Linked DNA regions of Cricetulus griseus. Each later gene encodes a partner of the first gene's protein in a complex. Links are inferred from orthologs where the notes say so. Each region holds a gene or a part of one and is shown in the gene's direction. Other genes may lie near its edges.

The links.
Region 2: Znf541 (region 1) and Sap30 share a complex: the UniProt entries of both Homo sapiens proteins name them as parts of the histone deacetylase complex. The link is inferred for Cricetulus griseus from reciprocal best matches to the Homo sapiens genes ZNF541 and SAP30.
Region 3: Znf541 (region 1) and Cir1 share a complex: the UniProt entries of both Homo sapiens proteins name them as parts of the histone deacetylase complex. The link is inferred for Cricetulus griseus from reciprocal best matches to the Homo sapiens genes ZNF541 and CIRSR.

What each region holds. Positions count from the first base shown.
Region 1 is NC_048602.1:10,752,950-10,756,603, forward strand, and holds part of Znf541 (zinc finger protein 541), read left to right. Parts: intron 1-270; coding exon 271-334; intron 335-812; coding exon 813-955; intron 956-1,223; coding exon 1,224-1,327; intron 1,328-2,583; coding exon 2,584-2,659; intron 2,660-3,121; coding exon 3,122-3,210; intron 3,211-3,654. UniProt on the Homo sapiens protein: Transcription regulator which is essential for male fertility and for the completion of meiotic prophase in spermatocytes.
Region 2 is NW_023276806.1:235,754,544-235,757,382, reverse strand, and holds the end of Sap30 (histone deacetylase complex subunit SAP30), read left to right. Parts: coding exon 1-42; intron 43-1,928; coding exon 1,929-2,051; 3' UTR 2,052-2,261; downstream 2,262-2,839. UniProt on the Homo sapiens protein: Involved in the functional recruitment of the Sin3-histone deacetylase complex (HDAC) to a specific subset of N-CoR corepressor complexes. Capable of transcription repression by N-CoR.
Region 3 is NC_048599.1:101,841,287-101,844,940, forward strand, and holds part of Cir1 (corepressor interacting with RBPJ 1), read left to right. Parts: intron 1-440; coding exon 441-489; intron 490-2,680; coding exon 2,681-2,798; intron 2,799-3,654. UniProt on the Homo sapiens protein: May modulate splice site selection during alternative splicing of pre-mRNAs. Regulates transcription and acts as corepressor for RBPJ. Recruits RBPJ to the Sin3-histone deacetylase complex (HDAC). Required for RBPJ-mediated repression of transcription.

The sequences.
Region 1 (3,654 bases):
CTGTAACTCACTGTGTAGACCAGACTGGCCTTGAACTCAAAGACATCAGCCTGTCTCTGCCCCCAGTGCACCACCATGCCAGGCAAATAGCCTTTTGTTTGTTTGTTTGTTTTAAATCACTGAGTTTCTTCTTCTACTTTTTCAAAAATCTACCACCTCCAACCTGGGCCTCACAGCTTTGTTTTCACCTGTGTCCCAAAGGCAGGTAGAAGCTCCCCGGGGGCCCTATCAGGTCAGTCTTGTTGAGGCTCTTCCCTGTGTGTTTTCTAGACCAAGTGGACAGCTCCTTTGGCATCTGTGTGGTGAAGGATGACACAAAAATCAGCATCGAACCGTGAGTTGGGACACTTATGTCCAAGCCCTTCTAGAGAGGGTGCTCTCACCAGCCTGGGCTCCAAAGCCTCCTTTTCCAGGCTTGTCTTCCCAGGGAGGGCAGGTCCCACTGTGTTACTTCTGTCTAAACTCACACAGATGGGCTTGGGGAGGGGCAGAATTTCCTCCATGGACCTGAGCTTCTGGACAGAAGTGGTGACAGCATAGTTCAGGAAGACAGAGCATTTATGGTCAGTGTCAGCATGTAGCTCCTTTCCTGGAACCTAGGCCAGAAATCAGAAATGAAGAAGCTAGGAAGAGTGTTCTGAAATGCCTGTGTCTGTTGGCTGATAAGGTAATGAGAAGCCACTGTGTCTGAGAGATGGCAGTAAGCTGCCATGGAGCTGGCTGTGGCTGTGAACAGGGTACATAGCACATCTCTGCTGTTTCCTGGCTTCGTCACCTTTGAATCCCCATATGTGTATGTGGCCTTGTTTCAGACATATCAACGTAGGAAGCAGATTTCAGGCGGAGATCCCAGAACTGCAGGAGAGGCCCCTGGCCAGAGTGGATGAGAATGTAGCTTCTCTGGTCTGGAAGCCATGGGGAGATGTGATGAGCAATCCAGAGACCCAGGACAGAGGTGGCTGAGGCTTTGGGTCAGGTCCCAAGGCCCCTCCCTCCCCATCCAACTCCACCCAGCGTCTCTCTCCCACCTTGCATTGCCCTGCCCCACCTCTCACTTCCAGCGCAGGTGCCAAGCCCGAGTTCCTATGGTCCCTCCTTGTTCCCTGTCCTCTATGGGGATGTACAGAAAGGGGAGTTGACCAGGAGCCCCTGTGCTATGGGGGCGGTACCTCCCTGGCATGTCCTGACTCCATTTCTTCTTCCTAATGCTCTTGGGTTCATAGTGATGGAACTCTGCAATGTGGCATGCTCCAGTGTGATGCCAGGAGGGGGCACCAACCTAGAGCTTGCCCTCCACTGCCTGCATGAAGCCCAGGGCAGTGTTCAGGTGAGACCTAGGTACTGTGCACTTCTGGGGCTGGATATTCTGGGCCTTGGATTGTTTGATGAAGGAAGGGCAAGGTCCACGTCTGCAGTCCTTCGAGGCCGGCATAGCAGAATGGGGGTGGGTGGAAGTTGCTCAGTTACAGAACTTGTCTGTCTTCAAACAATCCTTTCACAGAAGTCACCAAAGACCTTTGGAAATCACAGATATTTACATTATAATTCACAACAGTAGCAACAAAAATAATTTTATGGTTATGGGGCTCACCACAAGAGGAACTGTTTTAAAGGGTTAAAACATTAGGAAGGTTGAGAGCCACAGCTTCAAGAGAAGGTATCCTGGGGCAGTATAGGAGGAGCAGTGTTCAGGACCTGAGACTCAGCCCTGGGCCATGCTTTCTGTCAAGCTGAGGGGCAGTACCTGGCACATGTGTGCCAAACATCCACTGGGTATCAATCATGTTTGTGTGCTCTGTCTTTGACTTAACCCTTCATTGTCCTCATCTGGGGATTCTTCAGAGTTTCTGAGTGGAAATCCTGTTTTGTTTTATGATTTTTTTTTTGAAACAGGATTTCCTTAGCTGTCTTCGAACTCACTCTGTAGGCCCAGAACTCAGAGGTCTTCCTGCCTCTGCTTCCTGAGTGCTGGGATTAAAAGTGTGTGTCAGTCAGAGGAAATCTTCATTTTCATTTTGTACCAAACCCTAGAAAGTCCATGCCTGGTCCTTACTAGGATTAGAGTAGCCCATACCCCCACAGAGCTTATAGGAGAGACAAAATGTTCTAAGCATATTGGCTGAGGGGTGTGGTCACTCACACCTGGACTTCCAGCACTTGGAAGGCTAAGGCAGGGGGATAAGAAGCTTGAGAGCAGCCTGGGCTACGGTATAGATTCTGTCTCAGAAAGTCATATGTGAGTCATATGTGAGGCCCAGGCTCCATCCCCAGCAAGGAGTACCCAGAGAGAGAACACAGTGTAGTGCTGGGTGGATAGCACTCTTCTGTGCAGCAGGCTCTGGTGGGGAGCAGTATGTGCTTCGCAAACCCACATACTGCACCCTTCGTGGACAAGCCATACTTTGAAGACAAAAATGATGTTCAAAGGGTAATCAGTGAAGTTATCATGAGCCCGAGGACCAAGCCCTTCTATGTGGCCCTAAACCAGATGACTTTAGAGAGATTTGTTTTCAATGGAAGGAGAATGGAGGCAGCCCCCACTTCCCATGCCTTGTGAGTGGCCTACATTCACTGTCCTTCCAGGTTGCCCTGGAGACTCTATTACTCAGAGGACCCCAAAAGCCCCGGACTCACCCGCTAGCTGACTATCGCTACACAGGTAACTAGGGAAAGGGCTGTTTGATACTGAGGCCTGGCTGATTGCTGCCAGGCCGAATGGAAACTTACCTCTGCCCCTTGGCCTTTGCCTGACTTCCTGAAGGGGCCTGTTCTTCCCAGAGGGACTCTGCAGGCACTGCCTTGAGTTCACTAGACCCCACCAGCCCTGTTCCATCATTCCCAGCAAGGTTAGCATTCCTGACTGGGGCAGGGGCTATGCACTCAGGTTAAACAGATGAGTACAGCAAAGCCAGGCAGCTTAGGCCCACCACCCTTGGCCACCGAGGCCCCAGCCAGTTGCCCACATCTATAACATAAGGGTAGTGAGGCCCCAGCTTTGTAGGCTTTGGGAAGACTGTCCTAGATAGAGCATTCTCGATGCTCATAAAAGTGTGGTCGACATGTCAGTGAGGCAGTGGTCCCTTGAGAAAAACCTCCCCTGCCTGGCTGTGCTCCCTGGCAGGTTCAGACATCTGGACTCCCATGGAGAAGAGGCTCTTCAAGAAGGCATTCTGTGCCCACAAGAAGGACTTTTACCTGATACACAAGACGGTAAGATGACAAAGGGCTTGGGAAGCAAGCCAAGCGTCACACAACTGCCCCTCACCTGCCTATAGCACATTTAGTACCTTGTAAGCAGCTTATTACCTCAGACGGCTGTCCTGCCACTGCCCTGCCTGTCACCAGCTCAGCACTTGCTGCCTTTATCTGTCTTCATTTACTCACGTGTCCATGTGCTGAACACACATGGACACACAACCTAACGCTCTCTTCTAGTTTTATTTTTGGTGTTGGTGGTGTTGGTGGTGGTTTTTGTTTTGTTTTGTTTTTGTTTTTTTGAGACAGGGGTCTCTCTATGTAGTTCTGGCTGTCCTAGAACTCGCTATGTAGGCCAGGCTGGCCTTGAACTCACAAAGATCTTCCTGCTTCTGCCTCCTGGGGGCTGGGATTAAAGGTGTGTGCCACCACTGCCCAGCTCTCTCTTCTGTTCTTAAA
Region 2 (2,839 bases), on another chromosome or scaffold:
CTTCCAACCAGACCAGGCCTTAATAAAGCACAACTTGTTGAGGTATGTATAATTTTTATACGGTATAAACAAACCTGTTCACACCAACAAGGGTTGTGATTAAATGATGATGAAATAGGTAAATGTCTAATGTCTAAGAAAGTCAGAGTTAATGGGTCTATCATGGTGTGCATATAGTGGTTTAGAAACAACTGTCTGTCACCTAGAAAATCCACTTACAGCATTTTTTAATAGGGATTTCTCAGAGTAAGTATTTAGTGAGTTTTTAATCACTTCAGAAATCTGTTTTAGGTTTCTAATTATTCAATGTCTGTTTATTGAACACCTAATTGAGGCATAACAAATAAATAAGCTTACAAGCATTTATCAGAATTTAGTTTTCAAAGCTTCTCTGGGATAGGCCTACAGATGAACCCTGAAGCAGTACTTCCTAACTTTCTAGTTTTACTTTCAGGTTGTCTTTGTTAGTAGTTGTTGTTTTTAAGTAGAAGATGCTTTCTTTACATCGAGAGAGAGCAAAGATTTTATCCAAGCTTTTACTTAAAGTTTATTTTGTATAGGACTTTGGTTCCTTCAGAGTGCTTTGGAAATTAGCTGTGTGTGTGTGTGTGTGTGTGTGTGTGTGTGTGTGTGTGTGTTTTCAAGAAGTAATAGAGCCACAAAATCTGTGCACTTTAAAGTATTTACAGATTTAAATAATTAGACTTTATATGTAAAATAAACTTTTCCACTAAATAGACAGGACAGAAATCTCTCTCTCTCTCTCTGTGTGTGTGTGTGTGTGTGTGTGTGTGTGTGTGTGTGTGTTTACATGAGTTTTCTCATATTCTTGGGTTTGACTTGAGTAGTTAGCCTACATTTCTAATGTGCATATTAAATAAAAGATAAATACAAGTTGCAATTCTTTGTAGAAAGTTCTTTTACATTATTAAAATTCAATATGCTAACTAGCCAAATTTTCTCCTCTATTTTTTGCCTAGACAAAAATATAATTTTTCTTCAAATTTTATTTAAAGATCTAGTCCTTTTACCATGGCACAGTACATAAACATAAAGATGTTCCCTACTATGATGAAATATACTAGACATTAATGAAGTATGGTCGCCCCTGTTTTGTAACAGAGAGGAGCCAAGAACTGATGCAAACGTTGTATGATATAACATCATATAGTTTATAACTCAAATCTCAACTTTAAAGTCTGGTCTTCTAAAAACAGTTGAATTAGTACAGAGTTATTTTCTGTTCTAGAAAAACAGGCCATCTTCTGGAATCGGAGTGCACACATTAGCAGCTCAGTTTCTTATTCGTGTTGGTAGCTCAGTGTGCATGTTTGGTTTGTGCTGTGAAAAGACAGGGAAGCAGTCTTCTTGAGCGTCTTTCTAGCTCCTTTAATTTTCTTAAATCTTACTCAGAAAATTTTGCTGAAACTTAGGGAGAATGAATATCAATTGCACCAAAATTGTATATGATATCATAGTTTGTTACCAAGGGTTTTTGTTGTTTTGTTTACATTAATCTTTTCCTGTGAATGCAGTCGACATGCACGTTGGCTCTTTTGTTTTATGTCATTGATATTTAATGTTTAAGAATATGTACTTTATAAGTTGTTAAGTTTAAAGGGAAAAATACTTATAACCAGTGGACCAAAGCAAGTAAAATACTTAGAATTAGAGCATATGAATTGAGTAGACTAAAGGGTCCTTTGAAATCAGACTGTCCTTTGTTGATAATATTTTGTTTTTTTTAAATGTGCTTTGGGGCCTGTTCATATTTTGTTAAAACAGCTTAATTTTTAAAAGACAATCTCTTGTGGCCATATAACACATGGCCTAAACTGTGCCTTTTTTTTTTTTTTTTTAAACTGTGCCTTTTACCTGGCTCACAGAATCTGCTGCATCTAACATTTAATTTGTTTTTTTCTTTGTAGATAGTTGGTTGCCACTTTAGGTCTATTCCAGTGAATGAAAAAGACACCCTAACATATTTTATCTACTCAGTGAAGAATGACAAGAACAAATCAGATCTCAAGGTCGACAGTGGTGTTCACTAGGAGAGATGGCATTCACACTAGCACATAGATGTCTGGCTGTAAAGAATGTTTACTGTTTTTCATATGTAGAAATGTTCTTGGGTATTTTTTCTACAGAGGATTTTCTTTGGCTTTTTTTGTTTGGTTTTGATTCTAATAATTAGTTGGAAACTCATATGAAATGAGCTTCCTAAATTAAAACTATTTTAAATAAAGGTTATTACTATTATAGCTGCTTCAGTGTATTTATTTTGTGAAACTTAGTTTTTGTTTTAAGCTTTCAGGAATTGGTATTAAGGTTTCAGGTAAAGATCCTTATTTTGTAAATTTTTCTTGAAAATTCCAAGTAATTAAAGGTAAAGGAGAAACAACAGATAAATGTAATTTCCCTAGATCAATTTGATTTGTAAGTAAGTGTGTGGTGGTGGTGGTGGGGTGGGGGGGGGCGTCTGTTGGTTTTGAGACAGGTATCTCTGGCTGTCCTGGAACTCAGAGATCCACCTGCCTCTGCCTCCCAAGTGTTCAGACTAAAGGCAAGCTCTACTTCAGGCTAACAGTGTTTTTTTTTAAAATACTTCACAGTGTATGTTAGCAGGTTTAAAAATTAGACTTCCACTGATTCTTAACTACTTTTAAATTTCCCTTTTGCATTGTTATTATTATTCTTTGAAGGCATATGAAGAAAAACAGGTAGTTTCTGTGCCTCTCTCTTTCCAAAGACACCCTACATTCCAGCAAAGGTAAGCACAGCGCTTGCTCAGAGTTGAAATAAGAATTCATGGAAAATAACTCACATTCTTTAATGTTTG
Region 3 (3,654 bases), on another chromosome or scaffold:
CTGACTTACCGCAGACAGACAGCATGCTTCATTCTGGCCTTGATTCGAGAACTTGTTTGCTTTTTAAAACTCTACACAATCAGACTATGTAGACCAGTGGTTCTCAACCTGTGAGTTGCCACCTTCAAAGGACCATTGAAAACACAGATGTATTTACATTAGGATTCGTAACAGTAGCAAAATTGCAGTTGGAAAGTAGCAATGAAGATAGTTTTATGGTTGGGGAAATCGCCACAATATGAGGAACTGTATTAAAGGGTTGAAGCATTAGGAAGGTTGAGAACCACTGTTATAAACACTTAAAAATTGATGGTTGTTTTATATTTTTATAGTAGTAATGAATTTTTATAATGGTTTAAGAACAATAAACATTTTTCAGGTTAACTGGCATTGAATTGTTCTTTTAATACCATAGTCTTACATTTTTTTGTACTTAACAGATATGCCAAAGATGACATGAACATCAGAGACCAGCCCTTTGGTATTCAGGCAAGTGACACTTATTTTACTCTCCAAGAATAATTTTTATTTAGTACTTATATCTTTACATTATTTTCCAAAAGGTATTTGTATTAGAGTTCTCTAGAGGAACAGAACTGATAGGATGAATATAGATATTAAAGGGTGGTTTATGATCTAGCCTAGAGGACGTGGTTGGGTTTGGTTTGGGCAGTCCAACAGTGGCTGTCTCATGATGGAAAGGCTGAGAATCCAGTATCTGTTCAGTCCACAAGGCTGGTTGTCTCAGAAGGATTCCTGCAGAGCTGGTAGTCTTTGGCCTACATTGAAATCTTGAAGAAGTTGGATTTAATATTAGCAGCAACAGAATAGATAGAGGAGCTTGAGCTTGCCAGTGAGAGAGAGCAAACAGGCAAAAAGTGAAGCTTCCTTCTTCGAGTTCTGTTTATGTGGGCTGTCACCAGAAAGTGTGGCCAGATTTCAAATTCTGATCAAGAAAATCTCTCACAGGAGTGTCTTAAGTAGGGTTTTGTTGCTGTGAAGAGATGCCATAACCATAACAACTCTTACAAAGAACATTTAATTGGGGCTGGCTTTGAGGCCAGAAGTTTAATCCATTATCATCATGGCGGGAAGTATGGTGGCACACAGGCAGGCATGGTGCAGGGGGAGAAGCTGAGAGTTCTACATCTGGATCCCCGGGTATCAAGAAGAGACAGTGAGCCACATTGGGCCAAATGGAAGGAACATCTAAAGCCTCAGAGCCTGCCCCAGTGACACACTTCCTCCAACACCACCACACCTACTCCAGCAAGGCCACACCTCCTAATAGCACCATGCCCTGTGAGCCTGTGGGGACCATTTTCTTTAAAACCACCACACAGGACTGTCTGCCAGCTTGGGTTTTAGTTGATTCCAGATGTAGTCAGGTTGCCAAGCCAAGATTAGCATCACCGTGTTTAAGCTAAAACAACTTTGGTTTATATTTATATGAAATGATTCGAATGAGGAGAAAACACGAAATGTAGTAGACAGATGGAAGATGAGAATCAAGTTTTCTAGTGAAGGATAATGATGTGGTCACTAACTCGAGGTCAAGAAAAGATGTTAAAAATGTTACTGATTTAGAATCAGTCAATTGTCACTCCAGGAATGATCCTTGTGAAAAACATTGCCTTAGTCACCTGTGCATTGTCTATGGCAGCTCTTCTGACACGTCGCCTGTCACAACAGTAGGGTCGAGTAGGTGTAACATACACAAACATAAAATAAGAAAGTTAAAGTACCGTTTTTATTTCATAGAATAAGTTTGCTAACCCCTCGTTTAGAAATCTTGAGACTTTGGGGCTGGAGAGATGGCTCAGAGGTTAAGAGCACTGACTGCTCTTCCAGAGGTCCTGAGTTCAATTCCCAGCAACCACATAGTGGCTCACAACCATCTGTAATGAGATCTGGTGCCCTCTTTTGGTGTGCAGATATACATGCAAACAGAATGTTGTATACATAATAAATAAATAAAATCTTTAAAAAAGAAAGAAAGAAAGAAATCTGAGACTTCAAAGCTAGAGAGAATAGCTCAGTAAAAAACAAACAAAAAAACCAAAAAACACTTTTACAGTGTGTTGTAAGGGCCTGGCTTCAATTTGGAGAGATGTAGCTGGTATGGAAACAGGCCTGGATTTCCAACATGAAGGTTGAAAGCTCAGCTTGAGCTGCACCAGGGAGCCTATCTATGTATAAAGGGTGTGTGTGTGTAGGGGGGGTTGGGGTATTAGGTGAATGCATTAAAATTAGAGAACCTAAAATTAAACCATGACATAATTTGTTGTGATATTTTACCATTTCTTTTTGGGTGGTATTGTTTTATTATAGGAGGCATAGATAGGATTCACCTTGGATTTTAGGCAAATTTATAGTAGAAGAGTTTAGTATCTGTATCGACTTACCCACCATAGTTATAGAATCTCTTTCCCAAGAGATCTTTTTAAAAAGGAACAGCCAGGTATGGTGGTGTATTCACTCTAGGAGCAAAAGTGGGCGGATCTCTGTGAGTTCAAGGCCAACCCGATCTACATAGCAAGTTCCAGACCAGCAAGGGCTATAGTGAGGCCCTTTCTCAAGAAAGAAAAAGAAAAGGAGTGAGAGGGGTACCTAAATAAAAATGCTAAGTTGAATGTTAGGCTGTTGGTATTTGAGAACCAAACTACTGTTTATTTTTCAGGTTCGAAATGTAAGGTGTATTAAATGTCACAAGTGGGGTCATGTGAACACAGATCGAGAATGTCCTTTGTTTGGTCTTTCTGGAATCAATGCAAGTTCAGTTCCTACTGATGGCTCAGGTAAGCATTAGACAAAATTTTGTCAAACAAGGAAAGATAAAGTAAATTTTTATTTAAACTGAACTCTTTTGTTGTACTTGAGTTTAGTTTTTGTGGATTAAGACACATTCCCAAAATAGGATGATAGAGCTAGTGGTGTAACTCTGGTGGAGTGCTTTGCTTGTCACGTGTATATGAGATCTTGGGTTCAGTCCCTAGCACCCCACTCTCTTCCCTGCCTCCCCCTAGAAGGTGATAAATGGGAAACTCTTCATTATCTGAATGCTCTAAAATAGAGTTTAACTTTTCTAGCCAAGTTTCTATGAACTTTATTGTGGTTTTTGTTTTTGTTTGTTTGTTTAAAACAAGGTCTCATAAAAGCCAAACTGGTCCCAAACTCACTATGTAGCCATCGCCTTGAACTCCTGATGCTCATTCTCTACCTCTTGAGTGCTAAGATTATAGCTGTGTGGAGACAGGGTCTGACTGTGCAGCTTTGGCTGACCTGGAATACGCTATGTAGACCAGGCTGATCTTGAACTCACAACGATCAGTGTGCCTCTGCCTCCTGAGTGCTTGGATTAAAGGTATGCACCACTACTGTCCTTTTTAAAATATTTGTATTACTTGTGTTACATGCACATGTACATGCAGAAAGCCAAGGAGGCCAAAAGAGAGTGTCAGGTCATCTGGAGCTGGAGTCACAGGTACTTGTGACATGGTTGCTAGGAAACAAATGGGTTCTCTGGAAGGGCAACAGATACTCTTAACTAGTGAGCCATCTCTCCAGCCCCACTAATTTTGATTGTAAAGTTAGACACATTAAATATTGTTTACATGTTAGTAGCCTGAAATTAGGAGAAGAAATAATTTGTGG